Linked DNA regions of Notamacropus eugenii. The protein of the gene in region 3 purifies or fractionates together with the protein of the main gene of each other region. This does not show direct contact. Links are inferred from orthologs where the notes say so. Each region holds a gene or a part of one and is shown on either strand. Other genes may lie near its edges.

What was found. Proteins that work in one complex are often made in the same cells at the same time.
Region 1: the proteins of UTP4 (region 3) and WDR75 purify together in Homo sapiens (co-immunoprecipitation; 3 studies listed by BioGRID and IntAct, counting the BioPlex papers as one, with this or other methods). This does not show direct contact. The link is inferred for Notamacropus eugenii from reciprocal best matches to the Homo sapiens genes UTP4 and WDR75.
Region 2: the proteins of UTP4 (region 3) and WDR43 purify together in Homo sapiens (co-immunoprecipitation; 5 studies listed by BioGRID and IntAct, counting the BioPlex papers as one, with this or other methods). This does not show direct contact. The link is inferred for Notamacropus eugenii from reciprocal best matches to the Homo sapiens genes UTP4 and WDR43.

What each region holds. Positions count from the first base shown.
Region 1 is NC_092876.1:256,516,101-256,523,543, forward strand, and holds the start of WDR75 (WD repeat-containing protein 75), read left to right. Parts: upstream 1-4,440; 5' UTR 4,441-4,754; coding exon 4,755-4,840; intron 4,841-7,443. UniProt on the Homo sapiens protein: Ribosome biogenesis factor. Part of the small subunit (SSU) processome, first precursor of the small eukaryotic ribosomal subunit.
Region 2 is NC_092872.1:530,596,987-530,603,953, reverse strand, and holds the start of WDR43 (WD repeat-containing protein 43), read right to left. Parts: upstream 3,004-6,967; 5' UTR 2,918-3,003; coding exon 2,693-2,917; intron 1-2,692. UniProt on the Homo sapiens protein: Ribosome biogenesis factor that coordinates hyperactive transcription and ribogenesis. Part of the small subunit (SSU) processome, first precursor of the small eukaryotic ribosomal subunit.
Region 3 is NC_092872.1:708,525,490-708,533,374, forward strand, and holds the start of UTP4 (U3 small nucleolar RNA-associated protein 4 homolog), read left to right. Parts: upstream 1-4,807; 5' UTR 4,808-4,890; coding exon 4,891-4,909; intron 4,910-5,118; coding exon 5,119-5,279; intron 5,280-7,885. UniProt on the Homo sapiens protein: Ribosome biogenesis factor. Involved in nucleolar processing of pre-18S ribosomal RNA. Part of the small subunit (SSU) processome, first precursor of the small eukaryotic ribosomal subunit.

The DNA of each region.
Region 1 (7,443 bases), on a different chromosome or scaffold from region 3:
TTCCTTTCTTATGTTAGATGTGTTTTGTTCATAAATAAGCTTTTCAGTTTCATATAATCAAAGTTTTATCTATTTTCTTCTGTAATTGCCTCTATTACTTGTTTGGTTAATTATAACTCTCCTACCCATAGCTCTCCTATTCACAGTTGTGTAATTTAATACATGGTATGTGATCTAAATTTTTGTAGCTCAATCCTTAATATTAAGGTCTACTTAAATTGTACTATAAAATATAACGTAAGGTATTGGTCAAAGCCCAATTACTTCCAGGTGACTTTCTAGTTTTCCCAGCAATTTTTATGAAATAGGGAGTTCTTTCCTAAATAACTATTTTCTGGTTTATTGAACTCTGGATTATTGAATTCCATTTTTTCTGATTTTTACCTTGTCACTGATCTATTTCTTTTTTAACCAATAGCAGATGACTTTGATAACTGCTCCTTTATAATATAGTTTGAGGTCTGCAAGTGCTATTTCTCCTTCATCCCTACCTCTTTTCATTGTTTCCTTTCATATTCTAGCTATTTTATTTTTGCAATTTTGTTCATCTTTTGTTGAGGTCTATAAAGTGTTCCTTTGGTAATATCATTCTTATAGCATGAAAAAATGTAAATTAACTTTGGTAGCACTGCCATTTTTATTTACATTGTCACAGCTGTCATGAACACCAAATATTTCTCAAATTAAGTTGCAGTTTTTTTGAAGGAGCATTTTGTAATTGAATATGTGTGCAAACATATGTATGTATATAAATGTACATAATTATTTTTGGATTTCTGTAAGTATTCCCTAAGTTTTTTGTGTGCTTTAGTAAATTAATTTCCAGATACTTTACACATTTTGTAGTTATTTGGAATTAGATTTCCCTATTAGAGATTCTTAAATCTTGTAATTAACTAGATTACAATGTTTATTTTTGTGCATTTCGTAGCCTACAACATCGCTGAAATTGTTTCCATCAGTATCTTTGTCAATTCTTTAGATTTCTAAGTAAATCATCCTATCAGCAAATTGTGATAGTTTCATCTCCTCTTTACCTGTTTTTAATACCTTTAATCTCTCTGTCATATTACTGTAACCAGCATTTCCACAGAACTATGTTTGGGAGAGTAGACATCTTTGATCGACTACCCTATTTATTGACAAAGGTATTAATGTAGCCATGTTTTATATTCTTGCTTTTAGTTTTAAATATTTTTATGCTACTAAAAAAGATCTTCCTAAACCTATAATTTTGGGAGTTTTTAATATGAGTGTTTTACTTTGTCAAAGCTTTTTTTTTTTTTCCTGTACCTACTGAGATAATCATGTCTGAGAATATTTTGTTTCCATTATGGTTATGTTGTTTTCCTAAAAACTGAATAATCCTTGCATCCTTGGCATAACTCTAACTTGGTCATAATGAATGATTTCTTGTCTATACTGCTACAATGTTTGGCTGCCAGGATGTCCTCTAAAATTTCTAAATTGACATTCCTTATTGATAGACCTATCATTCTCCTGTGCTTCATCCTGAGGTCCCATGACTGTATTTGTCTCATAACAGGAATGTGGTAGAGCGCTTTCCCAATTTTTGAGAATATGACGTATTGATACTAATTTACTAAAAGCATAATAGAATTTTCCTATGAATACATCAGGACCAGAGCGCCCCTCCCCCTTCTCCTTCCATAGTACTTTCACACCAGTTCCTTTTCAGTAATTGCGGTTTTTTAAAGCTATTTAGTCTTGTTACTAGTTTGGGTGTTTTATACTTTGAAAGCATTCCTCTACTTTTTTATGTTCTCAATTATTATAGCTGCATATAGTAGGTTCTAATTTTTATTTATTTCTCCTTTTTGATTTCACCTTGCTCATTTGCCATTTCATTGATGTGATATCCTGCACTCTTCTTTTTGATCAGAATGGCTAAAAGTTCATCAATTTTTACTCTTTTCAGAGAAGCAGATTAGGGTTTGTTTTCCATTTCCCTCAGTATTTGGGGTTTTCAGTTTATTTCTTACTTTCATTAACTCCTTTTTTGTATTTACTTTGTTTGCTTTCTAACTTTTAAAGTGTATATTCAATTCATTAATCCTCTTTTCTGTTTTATTAATGTGTATCTCTAGTTACAATTTTTAGCTGCATTCCAGAAATTTGGGTATGTTGCTTCATCAGTTTTCCCTTCATCAATAATCATTGCTTCTTTGTCCTTTGACTCATTCATTATTTAGGATTTCATTGTTAAATCTCCATTTTGGCCCACGTCTTTTGTTGTGCTCTCTAAACCAATGAGTATTTTTATTGCAACACGTTCTGCAAAGGGTGAGTTTACTAGTTGTTATTTCATATTTGCAATAGCTCCGTGCCCTAAAGCTAGGTCAGTTTCCTAAAAGTTCCATGAGATATTGAGAAATACTTATATTCTTTATCAATAGCACTTAGATGTCATAAATCTTTTAACTCTAGTTTCTCCGGAATTTTAGTTTTTGTATGTTCCCTTTTGTATTGTTTGACTTGGACAAAACTGAAAGGACACTGAAATCCCCTGCCACTATTACTGTCTATGTCTTCTTGTAGTCTGTTTCCTTTATTAATTCAGAAGCTAAAATACTTGTATGTAAGTTTAATATAGAAAGTAGTTTGTCTATGGGTCCTTTCAACAGTTTCCTTGATTTTACTTTGTTTGATAGCATGACTGAAACTACTTTTTTTATTCATCTAACCAAAAAAAAATCCATCCCCTTGTCTTTTTTCTGTTTATGTCCGGTTTTTTTTTTAATGTCTCCTGTAAGCAATAGATGGTGGGGTTATATTTTCTTATCCCATCTGTCGCTTTTTTTAAGAAGGTGAATTATTTAATCCCTTCACATGTGGTTAGTAATTAGGTTTATATTTCCCCCTCATTTGTCTCCGATTTTTTTTTCAAAATTAGAAGTCCTCCCCGACCCTTTGGTAAACACAACAAATACTTGTCTCCCAGTTACTTTAATCTATTTTACGGCAACCTCATTCCCACCAGCTTCCTTCCTCTCACCCTCAAGTCTCCTGACTCCCACATTTGTTATCTCATTCCCTAGTGCTGGAGTTTTCCTTCTTCTTTCTTTTTATCTAGTTACTTAATTTTCTGTCAAAGTTCCTCTCTCCCCTTCAATTTTGGTTAGTTTTTTTAAAACAAATACTTTTAGAAAATACTCTTTTACACAGTTATTCCTAGACTGATGGCCCTTCCTTACTCCTCCTCTAGTCTCTGTTCCTCTTGCAAGGCCTGCTTTGGGCTCCTCCTCCCAAGCAGCTTCCATGTTCTTGCCTTGCAGACCTTACTCCTGACCCCCCCTTTCCTGCTCCGTCCCACTTTGGAGATACCAAACCCTGACGGGGACGGAAGGCTCCGCGTGCCTGACCTCCGCCCTCCCCTTCCTCGGGGTGGCAGCTCCCCCGGGGCAGGACGCGTGGTCTCCGCGCCCCTCCGTGTCCGTTCTCCCACGGGGGCTGCGCGGCGGGGGCTCCGCGGCGGGGGCTGCGGTCTTTTCCCCTTTCCACCCTGCCTCCTCACCCATGCTCGGGGAGGCTCTCGCCTTCCACGGACACAGCGGCGGTCACTCCCACTGCACTGTGGGTCTGGCTTACATTTTTTTTTACAACGAGCCTAGAAGTGATCCTACCTTAAAGCCTACGTGAAGACGTTAGGCATCGTGGACAATGGGCTATTTAGAAAAAACCACCTCTGATGTCCCTGAGCTCAGAAAGCCTCGCGCCTCTCACTACCTGCTTTTACCAGGGTAGCTCCGTTGTCACGAGAAGCTTCTTCCTTGGCTAGAACCTCGTCCACTGCCGCAGTCGGTCACGCCGCGGGCATAGCCCGGAGGGGTCACCCACGCGGCCCTGCCTGCCTTTATTTACCCTAGTATACCGCGCAGGGCACGTCCCTAAGCAGCTCGCCCCGAGGCCCTCGTTACGAGATGCCCAAGGTGGCACGGCGCCTAACCTCAGACTCTTCTCCTCTACCTACGTATGAAATACAGAACAAAATTCTTCCCGCTTCTTTCGACTAGAATTATAAAAGCGCTAAATGGTCCCATGGAGCACGTTTTCTTACTCTTCCCCCAGCGCTGAAGACAGCCGTACAGGCGGTACCCCAAAGGGCATCAACGTGCAATTTTAAACCCCAAAGTCCGCCCAGGCAATCCTATCAGCCGAAACTGAACTTTTCTTTCGGAGGCTCAATGCATTCTTCCTCCTGAGGTTTTTTAATCCAAATTTCTTTGAAACAGAACAGAGCCCGGGGAAGGTCCCGGGGCCAGACTGGAGGGCATGCCGGAGCACAGGCAGACACGGAAATTTAAGGGAACAACCAAGCAGAAAAAAGGAAGACCCGGCTAAAGCCGTGCGCCACGAGACACGCGTTTGACCCCTGGCTACAACGTCATCAGGAAGCGCCGAGACAAGATTCACCAATGCGCTTTGGAGGGGGAGGAGCCGACGAGTGCCCACGGAATCGCCATTTTGACTACGGGCAGAAGAGACTTTCGAGGCTTATTTCTGAAGCCAAAATGAGGCGACGGTTTTTTGTATAAAACTGAACGTTTAGAGGATACTCTCTGCGTCAACTGTGGTCCATTCAGAGTCTCCCGCAGACGAACCATCGTTCAACTTATTACTTAACATGGACTCTTCCGCCTAACGCCACCGCTGCGTGTGCTCGTGAAGCCATAAAAGAACACAGAAGCCCCGCCCCAAGGTCGGAGGTCAGAGGCTCCAGCTCCGGGGCCAACATGGTGGCTGGGGAGAACCTTCGCGTGGTTCGCAGCGGGGGCAGCAAGTTGAACTTACGGAGAGCGGTGTTTTCGGCTGATTCCAAGTAAGGGATTCCTCGGGGGACGGGAGCAGCGGGGAGCGGCCACCGGCCGAGCTTTCCCTCGCGCGCGCCGCCGGAGGTGCCCGTGGGAGGGTCGAAGCGAGGGAGAGCAGAGGGGACCGCGACCGCGTACGTGCCCACGCGGGACACGCGATCGGGGCGAGAAGGCCGCGGACCCGGGGCAGGGGAATAGTTCCGGAGCGATCGCGATATTTCCCGGGCCTGCTCCCAGCGTGGGAAGCGCCGGGAGGTCCCGTGCCCACAGCGCCTGACGCGTGCCACCTCTATCTCCGCATACACACGCATGTACGCCGTGACACACGTGGAACACGCACCCCCCCTCCACATCTCCACTCTCGCTCTGTGACAAAGCCCCCACGCATGATTTCATAGTTCTTTATCATCCTCCTCTTAGAAGCCCTGGGATGCTACCTAGAACTTAGTACCAGGAGAAACCCCTGGGGGTGACAGCCTTCTCTGATGCTTGGTAACTGGGGGATGGAAGACAGGCCCTTTGATCGGCCAGGCTCACTGCCAAGCCCTGCGAATACAACAGCAGAATATATTGCAAAGCCCTGGGAGTGCAACTGTATGTAGAGATACAGATATAGATACGTATATATACATATGTGTGTATCTAGCTATATCTATGCATCTATATGTATCTATGTATACATATATACACATATATACATACATACACATATACATACATATATATACATATGCATATATTCTCATGCACACACATATTCTCTGCAGGTTTTGACTACTGACAGTCACCAATTCTCCTTGATACACTTCTCTCTCTATCTTCATCTATCTCCAGAAATTCATCCAGGACATGCCATCCAACAGTGAGTGTTCTATGTGACTCTATCATGGGCCCTCTTCCCTTCCGCCTTTATACTGCTAAACTTGGTGATCCCTGTGGTAATGATTTTCAGATCTACCTATCCAGCCATATCCTCTCAGCTGATTTCCAGTCTCCCATCTCCAGTTGTCTTTCAGACTTCTCAAAGCAGTTGTCCAGGAGACATCTCAAAATCAGTATGTCCAAAACAAAATTCACTGTGTTTTCCCCAACTCTTCCCCCTCCAAACTTCTCTGCTACTGGCCCCACCAACTTTCCAGTCCCCTAGGCTCACAACTTAGGAGTCCTGGATTCCTGGCTGCCTCTCATCCCCCCATAAACAATGTGTTGCCAAGACTTGTCAATTTCACTTTTAGAGCATCTCCCTTTTCTCCTCTGACACTGTCCACCACGCTGGTGCAGGCCCTTTTCACCTCACTTTTAAACTCTTGTAATAGCCTGGTGGTGGGTCGGCCTGCCTCAAGTCTCTCCCCGATCTAGCCCGTCCTCCATTCAGCTACCAGAATCATTTTCCTAAAGCACAGGTCTGTCCTTATCACCCTCTTCAATAAACTCCAGTGGCTCCCAGTTACCTCCAGGCTCAAATACAAAATCCTCTGTCGGACATTCAGAGTCCCTCATAACTAATGCTCCCACCCTATTTCTGCTCAACCTTTCTAATTGTCATATATCTTATTCCCCATTACATACTCTTCAATCCAGTGACTGTTTCATGAACAGGCCACTCCATCTCTTGGCCCCAGGCATTACTTCTGACTGTTCCCTATGCCTGTAATTCTCTCCTTCATCTCTACGTCCTGGCTTTCTTCAAGTCCTAACTAAAATTGAATGTTCTATAGGAAGTCCTTCCCAGTTTCTCTTAATTCTAATGTTAATTTTAGGGCCTTCCCTCTTTTATTTATTTCTTATTTATCCTGGTTATAATATGTTGGTTCGTATTTTTTGCTTGTGAGCTCCATGAGATTAGGGGACTATCATTTGCCTGTTTTTTAATCTAAAGCACTTGCACTGTGCCTAGCAAATAGTAGGTGCTTAATAAATGCTGCATTTACTGACTTCAGAATGTTAAAAACTTTCTTCAGTACTACCTTTAAAAAAAAAACAACTTGCTATCGTTTCCTTTTACATTATCATCATTTCCAAATATATTCTTCCTTCTTCCCTACCCAGCAAACCATCCCTAATAGCAACAACAAATCTTAAAGAAACTACCTAATACATAAAATGACTGTGACAGCATATGCAGTGTTCTGTACCCATAGTTCCCCACCTTTGCAAATGAGGGAGAAAATTCCATTTTCTCATTTCTTCTTTGAGGTCAAACTTGCTCATTATAATTGCATACCATTCAGTTTCATTTTGTTCTTCCACTTATATTGCTGTGGTTGTACATTTATACACACAGATAGTGTTCCTTCTTTTGCTTAATTTATTCTGCCATCAGTTCATATAAGTCACAAATATTCTGTATTCTTTATAATCATTTCTCATAGCACAGGAAATATTCCATTATTCTCTGGTACTACAGTCTGTCTAGCTTAGCCATTCCCTAGTCAGCAAAAATCTGCTCTGTTTCTAGTTCATTGCCACAACAACAAAAAAATGTGGCTGTGTATAGTTGAGGCCTTTATACTTTGACCTCCATGGACATAAACCTAGCATTAGAGTCTCTGTGTTTCTTAACATAATTCTAAATTGCTTTCAGGAATGGTTGGCAGCTTCACCAACAGTG
Region 2 (6,967 bases), about 180 Mb from region 3:
GCTAGGTAAATGGGTAATATTAGACCAAGATGAAATAGTTGTTTTTAAACAGAGAATTGACCATATTACTCCCTCACAGAATTGAAAAGAAAATCTAAAAACATAGTACAGTTAAGAATCGAAGAGCAACAAAATTGTTTTAATCATATATGTGTATATGAGAAGAATGTAACATTAAGCTTAGTGGAAAAAATAACATTCCAATTCAATGCTACTGTAAGAAAGTAAGAGTTTCCTTTTAAAAGAAAAAACTGGAGCTACTTCCCTGAGAAGCTAAATAAACCGCATACTGTAACTTTTTTTTTTAATCTGAGGAAACTATAGTCACTTACCTCATCTGCTTGGTATCTTTTCTTCTAATTTAAAAAGTTTCTATTTAGGCATCCTGTACCATTCTCAACTCAAAATAACAGAAGGGGATTTGGATTAAGAGGAAGATATGGACTCAAATCCTGGATTCACCACATACTAGCTATGTACACTGGCAAGCCAGAGCTACCTCTATTCCTTATCTATAAAATGTCATCAAACAAACAGAACTGGATCCTTGCTGGCCACTATACACTGACTTAGAAAACCACAAATTAACATTATCTGTGTTATACTGTATTTATTTTTAAAAGCATTTTTCAATAAACTGACTCAGTTTTAAACCTTATGATTTTGACACCTTTCATTCAAAAGACAACTCTTATGCCAAAAGGCATTCCAATACTAATAACTTTGCCACTAGTTGGGTGACTCTGGACAAATAACTAATCCTGCTCTATAAAATAAGGATAACCTGTGTTCCCTGCCTTCCTCATAGGTATTATTACCTCACTTCCTAAACCCACCAGTCCTCCAAATTTGTACATTTACTGAGGGGACCACCATCTCCTCTGGCATTTATCCAGGCTTATGAAGTCCAAACTTTGTCAATTCCCTTCCTCACCTTTCAGTAAGTTGCCAAATTTAGTCAATTCTACCTCTAGAATTTGTATGGAATCTGTCCCCTTCTCCACTTAAAGACAGCTACCAACTTGGTTCAAATCTTCATCACTCCTTGCCTGTGCTACTATATTTAACAGCCTCTTAACTAGCCTCCTTATTTCTAATCTCACTCCTAATTTATCCTCCACAAAACTGCCAAAGTTATATTGATTATATTAGCCTGATTATATTATATTAGCCAAAATCACAATCATCAATGGATGTTCCAATGCCTAAGAGATAAAATGCAAACTCCTCAGCTTATAATTTAAGGCCTTTAACAACCTAGCTTCATCCTACTGGTCCAGCCTTATGCCAAACTAGTCCTCTTCGAGAATTCTACATTCCAGCCAAACTGGACTATCAACTGTTCCTGAACTTAAGGACCTTGATGTTCCATCCCTGCCTCACTACCCAAAGATAAATCACCCCATGTGCCTGGAATACAGTCCCCCATCATCTCTCCTCAGAATTTTTATTTCCTTCAAAGTTCAGCTCAGGAATCATTCTTCTGTAATGCCTTCTATGATCTTTCCAGTTCTTCATTGAATTTTGCCTTAAAGATTTTCTTTGCACAGTCTCTCCCCATTCCCAGGAAAATGTCACCTCATGGAGGGAAGGGATCACCTATCTACAGAAAATCTGAGAGGCCATCTCATCCCTACTCCCTTTTTTACAAAAGAGGGAACTGTGAGGCAGAAGGGGCAAATAAAGTGGCTTGCCAAAGATCATCTAACTGTCAGATTTAAGCCCAGGTCCTCTGACTTCAGAGGCAATGTTTCCCACTGTAACAAGCAGCTTAGAGGCTAAAGGGTGTTTTTGTGTTCCTATCATATAGCAGGATCTTAAGAAAAATGCTTTGACTTGGTTAACTCTAAGTTGTAACAAAAGTCATAACCTCTCAAAAATACTTTAATAGTTCGGTCTTACTGTACCCATTATGCACCACGTGGGTTTAACAGATGCAGCCAGATGACTCAAACACCACCAAATGGTATCTCCTACCTGAATTGGGCCTTTCACAGCAGAGGTAGATTTGGGATCTTTTCCTCCCCGTTCTTCCGGATAAGGCCAGAAGGTCCCCTCTCCCACTCCCTGGTTTACATTTAATTTACTCCTTATTTAACAGAACAGACAGGAAAACTACAAACGGATTAGCAGAAGGGGAAACCCAAAGCGAGAGCCTGAATGCGTGTGGGGGAGGGGCGTGCAGCGTGTTTCCAACGTGGTGGGAGCAGGAGGCCGGAGCCCGGGTGATGGGTGACAGGAATAAAGAGCGGGTAAAGCGGGTGCGATGGATTGGAGGGAGAGCGGGAGTGCGGAGGCTGGGTGGTTAGCTAGGAGTGCCCGGGAGCTCTGGTCCATCTGCTGCGATGTGTCCGGGCAAAGCACGCCGGGGGAGGGGAGCCGGACTCCGCGGCCAGAGCGAGACGCGTGGCTGGAAATAAGTACGGGCCGCGGAGAGTGGCGAGCAGCCCGCGAAGACAGAGCGGCAGCAGGCGGGCGGGCCCGCTCCGGAGCTCCTCCGGGCCAGGCGGGCGGGCGGGCAGGCTCTGCTCCACGGCAGGCCCCGCTTCTTCCTGCGGCTGCCGGCCCCCGCCAGGACCGCGCACCCCGCCGCGCACAGCCCGCCGAGGGTGGGCCTCGCGCCCCTTCCCCCCCCCACCCGGTTCCGCGCGTCCACCCCCTCCCAGCTCTGCTCCCGCGCCTCTAGCTTTACCTTGGCCAGCGACCGCGGCGGGGCCCAAGCCAGGCAGGTGCAGGTGGCGCTGAGGTGAGCGGAAGGAACAAAGTCCTGGTGAAGGCGGCTGCTGGCTGTCTCCCACACCCGCAGGTGACCATCCGGACCAGCTAATGAGAAGTAGTGCTGGCCCCGAGGAGAAAAAGCACAGGGAATCCCGGAGTGGGCCAGGGGGTCGCGGCGGCCTCCGCCACTCGCCGCCATTGCTCTTCTGGCCCCGCAGCAGCCACGTGTTCGGCCGCGCGCCTGCGCAGCCGACTTGGGCGGGGTGTATGGAAAGGAAGCTGGCCCAGACTGGACCGGGGTGAAGGGGCGGGGCTTCGTCGTCGCTCAGGGCGCCTGCGCGCGGCGGCCCGCACTACTTCAGGTATATCGACTTTCAATTGGGAGGTGCTTGGAAAAGCTAAAGCTTTCACCCCCCCTCCTTTTTTTCTTATAACGAACTGAGGTCCAGAGAGGGGGTCTCCTGCTCAAAGCCACAGAATTGTGTGGAAAAGGAATTTGAACCCAAATCCTCCAACTGCAGACAGATTTTTCTCCTGTGTTTCCTTATGTCCAATCCTGGGCTTGTAACCTGTAGGACATAGTAGGAAGATTTTGCACGCCTGTAGCTTTTCTTAAATTGATATATTTTCTTTTTACACATATTTTCTTTCCACTTAGAGACAAAGGATTTTTTTAGAAAGCCTTTTAGAGAAACAGCTGACCTCCCTGGCTTCCTTTAAGTCCTATCCAAAATCCCGTCTTTTACTGGAAGCCTTCCCCTAGCCCCTCAGTTCCAGTGCATTCCCTCTAGTAGTCATTTCCTATTTATAGCTTGCTTTGTGTATATTGGTTTACGTGTCGTTTCCTCCATTAAACTGTAAGTTCTTTGAGGGCAGAAGACTGTCTTGTACCTCTTTTTGTATCCCCAGACCTTAACAAAATAGTCAATTAATGTTATTGACTGATGGATGAATGGATTCATTGATTAATTGACCTAGTCTTCCACCTCTGCAAAGAAGGGGCTGCTGTCTCATTTCTTCTTTGGGGTCAAATTTGGTCATGAAGTTTACACACCTGTGACATTTTGAAGTTTGCCAGTCAATAAATAAATAAAAAAGGATTTATTTAGTACCTGCTAGGTGCCCAGCAGTGTGCTAGGCACTGAAGATATAAATACAAAAAACACAGAATCATTGTTCTCAAGGAATTCTATCAAATAGCCTATCTACACAGGCAATTTTCAATCACGGGTTCATTCAAATGTAATCCTTATGATGCAATGCAAAAAAAAGTTTCATTTGGAATCAGAGTATTCCTGGGTTTAAGTCCCTGTTCCGCTATTTGATGTGTGACTTCCAAATCACTTCACTGCTGTAAGGTTCAGTTTCTTTAGAAGTAAAATGTAAGATTGGATTAAACTGTGGATAAAGTCACTTCTGAGATGAGAGGTCATCTCAGATATTAATACCTTCTTCTTGCAAGCATACATTTAAGAAAATTAAAGAAGGAAAGTTATACTGAAAAATTAAAGAAAATGAAATTGAACCTCATACGCTTATAAAACAGATAGACACCTTTCAATAAGCTACCCTCTCCCAAAGATCCAGGTTCTGCCAAGTGTGAATCCCCCTGCAGTTATGCAGGGTCAGTAATTATCCTCCACAGTGGTTCGTGCTTGTGGTTTCCCCACCAGAACATCACCAGATATTTTTCTTGGATATGGCCAAAACCCTCTGGGCTGCTGGGAACATTCTTTGGTGTTGATAGTACCCCCAATTTCTCTGTAATTTTCTCTTAAATACTAAATAGGCAACTAGGTGGAATTATTCAAATTTCCCTCAGTAACAGAGAACATATTCTTTTTTGGTGGGTGGAGGGAGGAGGAAGGAGAAGTGGAAGGAGGAATAATTGGGTAACACAGTAGAAACTCTTTCCTATCCTCTAGTACACCCTTAGTCTCTTTCTAGTGAACTTCCCATCTTCCCAAAAATATGCTCAGGTTTCCCCAATCCTGAAAAGCCTTCCCTTGACCCTTCTAGTCCATTTAAGTACCACTCCAACTCTTTACTGCTCTACTACTAAAATTCTTGAAACAACTGTCTATACCTAATGTTTACCTGTCCTCACTACTATCTCCTTTCAATCAAGTTTCTTCTCCCAGAATTCTAATGAAACTGCTCTTTCAAAATGACCTCCTAATTGCCAAATCCAATGGCTTTTATTCAGTCCTCATACTCCTTGACATCTCTATAGCTTAAAGTTCTTCATAATGTGGTCCATCCTACCTTTCTGGTCTTCTTATACCTTATTTCCCTCCCTTCACTAAATGACCCACTTATATTAGCCTACTTTCTGTTATTCACACATGACACTTCACTCTATGCATTTTCACTGGCTATGACTTTCTCCTGGAATTTTCTCCCTCCTCATCAGGAAATAAATTGGGATTTTTTTTCCCTAGAAAGTAAAAAATGGATCTATTGTGATTTGACAGAGTAGAGGAACAACAAGGATGAAGCTCAAATTAAATTCACTTAGTCACATGAATTTCAAACTTCAAGATTACATTCACAAGATGGTTTTACAAGCTGTCAAGATAAAAGCATCACATAACAGTGTGTGGGATGGCTCAGGTCCCTACATAAATCAATTACCCAGAGACCTCTCAAAGTGATGACAGAAAAGAGATTTATTCGATTCTCGATAAGCGGGGCTCACCTGTAGGAGTACGAAAGCCGAAGACAAAGAAAAGGCAGCGATTTATATAGACTCTAACGCAAGTCCCTCCCCCCCCACTGACCATTATCCTCATTAGCTGAGAATATGATCTTACATTCTAGACACGAAATCTAACCAATCCCTTTTGAAATGAAGACATTGAAGAATTAGGTAAACTTTATCCAATCATTGAGACCCTAATGTACTACATAGTTTTATATCCTTATATGGAATTATTCTGTTCTAAAAATATAGTAACCTTGAGCCTCTCAGTCTTACCTCACCCCTAGGAGAAAAATTACAATCTGAGAAGTCTTCACTAAACCTATCCCACTCAACAGGAAGTAGCAATTTGAATTGCACAATATTTTTCTATAAAAATAAGAAAAGACATAGAAAGTTGAAGTATAATAGAATAAGATATTTATCCTGAAATCAGCTACCTACCATAATTAAGTATACTTTTTGAAGAAAAAAGGATGGTCTTTCAGAAATTCACAATAATTTGAAAAATGTGTGGATCCCCAAGACAATCTGGAACTATAATGTGCAGAATCAACAAGGTTTGGTTTGCAACAGATGAGAGTTGAACTGATGTAATAGAAAAAGCAATGGATGAAACCAGAAAAGATGGTGGATATAGAGGAAGTATTACAGCTCAGCTGTCCAGAACAACTAATCCAGTAAAAATTGAGGAAGAGCACCCAATAAAGGAATGATCAAGAAATAAAAAAAAAATAGCACCAAATGCTTTTTCCAGCCCAAGTTGATACAGAGAGATAGCCTGAGGCTTGAGGGAAGGGGGCTTACTCAGGGAAACTAGGACAGAAGCCTTCTAGGACCCTAGATAAAATATATTAGTCAAAAACAAGGTCCTACCATTTACTCCAGAAATGCATAGTCTGACCTGGACATGAAATTCTAACTTGGGAAGCAAGGCTGGAAAAATGAGTTAACAAAAGAACCTACTAGCTATAAAGAAATAATATGGATCCAAGAATGTCTAATACACAAACAACAAAGAACACAATAATTGTATGACATTTATACAAGTAAAGCCTCCCAGAATTACTTGGCAATAATGTCCATTAAATTTCTTAGAAGAAGTGGAACAAGTTTAAAAAGATACTATACATGGCATGAAAACTCTTGATCAGTGGTTTGCAAACTTTTGATCTCAGGATTCCTTTACTCTGTTAAAAATTGTTTAGGATTCCAAAGAACTTTTGTTTATGTTTTATATCTACTGACATTTAACATAATAGAAATTAAAACTGACAAACTTTTAAAATTTTATTTACAAACCCCATTATCTTCGATGAATAACTTAATATAAAATAACTATATATTACAAAATGAAAAAAAATTATTGAGTGGCATTATTTTTAAAAATTGAATGTCTGGCTTAATAGAAGAAAACTGGATTCTTATATCTGGTTCTGAATTCATTCATTTTATTGTGATGTATTGTTATTGATGAATAAAATTGGGCCTCACACAAATATGTAGTTGGAAAAGGGAGGAAAATGTTAATAGGCCAATAAAATATTA
Region 3 (7,885 bases):
TTACTTCAGGTACCTAAATATTTTACTCTTTAGGGTTTGGGTAGGCCCAAAGTTTATGACTCATTGAATATAGTGTTTGGAGTACGATGAGGGGAGGTCTGAAGAACAGAAGGAGTCCAATTTGTGCCTCTAGAAAGCAGGATTAAGGGGAATGTAATATTAAGACATATCTGCTGTGAAAGAAAAAGGCAGAGAATTGGGTATAGGTCAACTCTTGTTAAAATAAAAGCCAACATTCACAATGAAAACTGACTGGCAAAAAGATTTCTAAGCCCCAGACTACTTATATTTCAAACATTACTCAATGTGAAAAAATTAACTGAGACTGGCCTTTGAAACTCATAAAATCTGATCTATACAGAAATGTATGTGTGATAGCAGTAAGGTGACAAAATTTCACAGGTAGACTTTGATGCACTAATTATACAGCTCCATTAAGTTATGCAACTGAATTAAAAGCAGGTCAGTGGAAGTGCTCCTCAAATCCACTTCAATCAGTTTTTCTCTACGAGGCAACTAGAAAGCATAAATCTAATGCCATTAGAAGTAGCAATTCCATTCTGGTGAGACTATGCTTAGTTTTAACTCTGAGCCAGCTACAAAAACATTCAAATCCACAGAAATAATTCAGCTCTAGGAAGATGAAAGTATACTGAGTAACACAAGATAGTTTAAAAAACCACTATTTTTTAAAAGAAAAAGAAGAAAAGGTTTTAGGCTTTAGGTAAGATTAATGACCATGAATTTATACTTTGGGAAACATGATATTTTTGATTTCTCTGTAACTATTTACTTCTGGTATTTAAAATTTCAATATGCTTTATAAACACTAACTTCATTCTCATATTATTTATTCATGGACCATTTATTCAGCACCTAAGGCACTACAAGGGAAACAAGGTACAAGGCTAGATGCTGTGGGAGGGGGCAAAAAAAATCTTCAAGAATGTGGCTTTAAGGAATTCATGTCAAAGTAAAATAAACTGATTTGTACAAAGACACCAAAGCAGTTACTGTATCTGTCAGGTGGCCAGGGAAAAAAATTCTATACCATATTTCATATAATTATAATTTCAAATACTGTGAATTTGAATACATGCCATTGCTTCAGGAGATTCTTTGCCACAATCAGGACCTAGCTCTATTTGTTTTTCTTGGTTGTTAAAATGTTCAACTCTTCTTGGTACATTAAATCCTGGAAAATTGTGTATTCCATTTGAAAAACCTCAGGAAGGCAGCTGTCACAGAAAATGGTTCCATATTTACATGTTCCCAGAAATTAAAGCATTCAATCTACAATGCATGCTTCTGTTGCTTTGGACAAGGTGGACTTAAATAATGAATTGGCTGGGAGCCCACTTTACAGGTTAGCTTTGATTTTAGTGAGGTCCCTCAATCTCTCTCAATTTCAGACTCCTAATTTTTAAAATGAGAACACTAATAAAATGAACCTCATGTCAATGAGTTCATCAAGAATAACAAGCACTTAAAGTTACTTCTTAAGAGTGCCCTGGAGGAAAAGGTGCTATACACAAAGCCTAAAGGACAAGTTACTTAATACCTAGCCAAAAAGGTTCTATGTAATTAAAACAGCCAAAATTTTCAAAAAAGAATGCTTAGTGGATATTTTGCTTAATTACTGAAATGATAATCCTTCATTCATTTTGTGATTTTAGGCATCCCTTTCCCTAAGACCAACTTTAAATTTCAATTATTTGTAGTCCATTTTTTTCAACTCTTTCCAAAGGTTTCCCTACAAAATTCATGATACAAAATTTTGCTTTAGAACATCTATCTTGCAAAAACAAGCTCCAATTTTATAGTTCAGAAAGCACCGACTGAACACAATTTATGTTGGCTCCATATTGAACTGTTACTTGAAGGACCAGATGAATTGCTTTCTCTGTACTTCGCCACAAACTTGCTTAAAATAATAACTAACATTTAAGTAGTGCTTACTATGTGCAAAATACTGCCCAAAGCGCTTTCTTTACCATTATTTCACTTGAATCGCCTGAAGAATGCTGGATTTAGAGGTCTGGATCATACCTCAACAACTTTCTAACCAAGTGACCTTGGGCAAATTACTTAACTTGGTGGGAGGGGGCTGTTTCAGTTTCTTGGGCAGGAAAAAGTTAAACTAGATGGTCTCCCAGGAATTGAAACTTGGATTACCACCAGACTGCTTCACGGAATATTCGGATAACTTTTACGCTAAATACTATGCACTTTTCCCATGTGCTTTCCTCCAAACAACGAACAACTAACGTGGTTTTACACGAGATGAGATCTTTTTATTAAGCAGTGTTTTCGTGACTGTTGGGCTTGTGTGGGAGTTATCCAGCTGCTGGCTGGGCCGGCTGCCCCTGCCCCCTGGGATGAGATGTACGTGGGGGGGGAATGTTTCGTTACTTTTCGTGAGGAAGGGGCGGCGTGTGGACCCCGCGCACATGTGACTTTCACAGCGCACTGGAGGAACAGTCAGGATCCCGCTCCTCCACGGGACCGACTCCCGGGCCCGGCTTCGCTCCAGGTGTCCGAACCCTCCCCTCCGCCAACGCCGCGCCCCTGCCCCGGGTGCTCCCTCCCAGCACTTCCAGCCCTCCCCCCTCCATCTCCGATACCTGCCCCGGGCCTCCCCCCGCTTCCCGCAGCCAGCCCCCGCCCCAGGCTCCTCCCCTTTCCTTCCTCTTCCTGGGATCCCTCCAAATGGTCCCCTCGCACTTCCTGGATCCCCTCTCCATCCACGTTCCCGGTCCCTTCCCCGCCGAGCCATTCCCCCCCAACGCACTAATCCTGCCACGACCCACGTGGCTCCCAGGCCAGGCCCGCGCCGGGCCGGGCCCCCTCGGTCCCCTCCGTGCACAGCCCCGGCCCGGCCCGGCCCTGTGGGGCCGCCGCCGCCTCCCAGCCGCAGGTCGCTGCCCGCTGCGCTCGCCCCCGCCCGCGCTCGCTCCCGCGCCTCAGCCCCGGCCCCTCCCGCCATTCTTCCCGCGCCGCCCTCCCTCCCGGGCCGCCGGCTCCCTGCTCCTCGTCCTCCCGCCGCCGCGCCTGCCGAAGCCCCGGCCCTCGCCCCCCGGGCCCCTTCCGCTCCCCCTCCCGCACGCCCCGCCCGGGGCCTGACCTGCAATGGCGGCCGCCGAACGCGGCGCCTCGCGGCCAACGGGCGACAACCGAACCTCCCGCCGCCACCGTCCGCCGCCGCTAACACTGTCTGCGCACTTCCGGCTCCGTGGGGCCAGCGACTGCTTCCGGGGTCAAAGCGCGCGCACGTGGTGCGAGGTCGAGGCCGGGTGGGGAGGGGAGCGCGAGTCGCAGGGGAAGCTGGACCAGAGGCCGGAGGTCGGAGGCCGGCGAAGGTGAGTGTGGCGATGGGGGGAGGGAAGCGACCCTTGCCTCGTGGTGGGAGGGCCCTCCCTCCGCGGTAGCCGGCCACTCCAAATCACCTGGGGGGGCGGCGGGAGGCCCCTCGGCCCGTGGCCCTTTTACCACGCCTTTTGGTAACATCTGGTTCTCGGCGCCCGCCTAGCAGGCATACAGGAGGCGCCTACTAAGGGGTTGCCAGTTTATGGTAATAGCTCTCAGTGCCCCGTGAAACTGAAGTCCTAAGATCTGCAGAAGCGCTTTGCGTTCTCCTGGCATCCCCGGGAGCGAGGGGCTGCCCCACCCCGCCTTTTACAGATCGCCCGGGGTCACCCCCCCTCCCCCGACCAGCCCTGCGTCCAGGGAGCCCCCGACCCGCATCCCCAGCTGCGTAGGATTCGGGCAGGATTCTAAGGACCATCCAGTGCATCTCCTTCATTTGACAGCGGGGGAAATTGAGAGTCAGAGAATCCGGGGAATGGTCTTTTCTGAAGTCTTTTTCCCCCCACCTAGACCACTATCCCTTCTATTAGACTGTGAGCCCCTTACCCCCTCCCCCCCGCATGATACCCATCCTTGAATTTAGAGCTGAAAGGTACTCCTATCCATGAACAAAGGCCAGTCTTCGTCTTTGTATCTCTCCCAGAGACCGCAGGATGCCTCATCGATTGTTACTTTTGTTGACGTTGTTACATTGTTACTTTTACAGATGTGTATTCAGTTGACAAGAATGGGAGGGGAGTCCTTGCCGAATATAACCGATAGAATGTAAGGTTGGGATCTGTCCTGTGGAGCTTAGTGCGGAATTCATGGGACGCCCTAATAAATGTTTGTGGAAATAGGATTTGAAGTGTCCCTCGGACCTCTCCCAGACCCTGAGCGCGAAGAGTAATGCTGGTAGCATTGTCTCCATTTTCAGATGAGGAAATTAAAACTCAGGACTAAAAGTGACTTTGCCTCTGGTGTCAGGGGCAGGACTTGAATCTGGGTCTCCATTCCCTAGTGCATTACTTTGTACATTTGATTTCTTTGACCTCCTCCATCCCTTACCACTGAGGGATAACCTATGGTAGGGGATGAAGAGTTCCACCCTCCTAGCCATGCTATTTTGGGCATTTCATCTCTGACCCTTTGTTTCCTTATCTTTCAATTGGGTACAAACCTGGAATGCTCTGTCTCCTCACCTTTCCTTCATGAAATGCCCAGTTTCCTACAGGAGGCCTGTCCTCATTTCCCCCCTTCCCCACTTTGTATTCACTTTGTAAGTCTGATATATTATTTTTCTACGCTCATGTTGCACCCCTGGTCTCCCCCTGTCCTTTTCTGAATTATCCTGTCCTAGTTTAATGTAAGCCACTTGGTACATGGCATAGTCCCTGGCACGTAGTAGGTGATTTATAATTGCTTGCTGAATGAATCTTCTGTTTTGTCTTTCTTTCAGACCAAGATGAGATTCTTGAAACGATTTATTAGTTGTTGGTCATTAAGCATTTTTAATAATTGCCTACTGTGTGCTGGGTACTATGCATGGGAGATACAAAGAAAGGTAAATGACTGCCCCTGCTCTCAAGGAGCTATACAATATGTAGGGTGTAACATTACCAGGTAAATGTTCAAAAATAATTCCCCTTCACCCCCAGTGAGGAGGCCCAAATAAACAAAGTAAAGGCTGCTTTTGATTCCTCCATTGAACAGTTGCACAGGACATATCCCTTGGAGTAGGTGCTTAATAATAAGTTACATTTCCGTCTGCAGGAATGGGTGAATTTAAGGTTCATCGAGTGCGTTTCTTCAACTATGTTCCCGTGGGGATCCGATGTGTGGCATACAATCACCAATCCAACCGGTTGGCTGTCTCTCGATTGGACGGCTCAGTCGAGATCTACAATCTGGCAGCCAACAGCTTTCAGGAAAAGGTCAGTCTGCTGTGGGTCTCTGGAGTCATCTGGACTGACAACATCCTTTTATGGATGGGGGTCCTCACATGGAGGAGGGAGCAAAGCCATCTAAACTGAACCACTTCTTCTCCCCTTGCCCCTCTCACATCTTTCTGACTTTGTCCCCCATCACATCCTCCCTCATTCATTCCACAGTCTTAAGGATGTAAGGGTTGGTCCTTCTGCCTGCTGAGGATAATCCTATTCCATATACAATTGATACCATTCATAGCATTGTGCACATCCTCTCTTATTTTCAGTCTCTCCCTGGAATCTCTTGGTTGCTTCCCTGATACTTACAAACACTGCCCCCTCTCCCCTATCCTTTTAAGCCTTCATTTGATCCTATCAGATCCTCCCACCATCATCCTAGATTTTCTTCTCCTTCTCAGCTTAACTCCTTGGGGAGGAAAATACCTGGTCACTGTTTCTAATTCTTATCCACACTCTTCTGAAATCTCTGCAGTATAGTTACTGGTACTGAAACTGCTCTCCTCAGTTACCAGTGATCTGCTCATTGATTAATTGTCAAATCCAGTGACCTCTTCTTGATCCTTTTACTTGACTTCTGTTTCATGTGACTGGGTTTTGTTACCCTCTTCTCTCTTGGCTGTCCTTCACTCATGGCATGCCCACCAGATCTAAATGTTCCCCCAAGGTGCTGTCTTACGTCTCTTCTCTCTTTAACCTGTTGTTTAGTGATCCTCCCAATGGGTTCAGTGAGCAGTGCTGGACTTGGAGTCAGAAAAAGCTGAGTCAAAATTCTGCTTAAGATACTTACCATCTTTGTGGCATTATGCAAATCAGGTAACCTCTGTCTTCCTCATTTCTTCATCTGTGAACTGGAATAAGAAAAAAACCATCTCCCCCATTTATTGTGAGGAGCAAGAGAACATGCGTAAAGTGCTTTGAGATCCTTGAAGTGGCTAGCAATCATTATCATTATTATTTCTCTTATACATATGATTCCCAGCTCTTTTTCCAGCCTTGGTTCCTCTCCTGATCTCCAGTCCTACATCACCAACTCCCTTTTGGACATTTTGAACTTAATGTCCCAGTGGGCATCTCAAAATAATCATGTCCAAAAGAAAACTCATTATATTCCCTCTCAAACTTTCTTCTTTTCTGAATTATCTCATGATTGTAGAGGCACCATCATCTTTCCGATCACTCGCCTTCCCTCTCTCTCATTTGCTTTTCATCCCAACCAGTTGTTAGATCTTTCCTCCATAACACTCTTGCATGTGGCTCCACCCTCATTGCCTCTCAGTAGCTTTTTCCTTGGTTTCCCCACCTCAGGGCTCTCCCCACCTCAGGGCTCTCCGCACCCCAGTCCATTAGTTGTCAGAGTTCTTTTCCTAACACAGATCTCTGACTGTGCCACCCTTTGGCTCTCTCTTACTCTTAGGATCAACTATAAATTTTTCTTTTTGGGGCCTCAGGCTTTTTACAGCATATTCCCTTCCTTCCTCAACCAGTTTCTCACCATCTGCTCCCCTCTGATACTGTCCTATTCAGCCATACCAGCCTACTAGATAGTTCTTAAAAGGGACACTCTGTGTCCGTGCCTTTGTGGCTGGCTATTCCAAAAGTGCTCTCCTTCCCAACGACATATTCTCAGAATCCCTGGCTTCATTTAAAACTGATAAAATATACTTTATTTTTTGGGGGGAGGGGAGAGTTGTCTGTGTTTTCTTTCACAACATGACTTAATGTGGAAATATGTTTAGCATGACTGCACATTTATAACATATCAAATAGTTTGCCTTCTTCTCTAGTTGGTGGGGAGGAAGTCTAGAACTTAAAAATTTGAAAAAAAACACATTAGAAATTGTTTTCACATGTAATTGGGGAAAAAGAAAATATTTTTTAGAAAGATTGGTAAAACACCTCCCTGTCTAGCAGGTCTTTGCTGGTCTGTCCTTCCAGACCTTTGCCATTCCCCAGTCTTCTGACTTCCATCTGCCTTGGCTACTTTCTCTGCATTTACCCATTTATTTTTATATAGTTACCCCCATTAGGATGTAAGCTCCTTGAGGACAAGGACTGTTTTTGCTCTTTCTTTGCATCCTTAATGCTGAGCACAGTGTCTAGTACGTATTAAAGAACATCATAAAAGCTTGCTGACTTATTGTTTGACTGATGGATCACCTTTAATTTTCTTTCCTGCCTAAGCCAGCAGCACCCATAAAGGAGTATTCAGGACTTGTAAAAGTGACTGATCTCTTTCCTGGTGGAAAGAGGAAGGAGCTGACTGGCAGAAGAGCTGTACTGGACAAGTCACTTAATCTCCTATTTGTGTCTCAGTCTCCCCTAAAGAAAAATAGAAAATATACCTGTCTCCTACTGTGCATCTAAGGGTGTGAGAATAAAACAAGATAGCGAGGAACCCCTTTTGAGGTTTTAGTAAGATGCTATTTAAATCACTGATTTGCCTTAAACCTATGACCCAGACATTCAAATGAATTGTCCTAATTTCTAGTCTCTCAAACCAACCCCAAGTATTTATTAATTATTTTTGGCTAGTTTCTTCTTTTCAGATCCCTAATGAATTTCTCTGAATCAGAGCTAAACCTTTTTTGTGA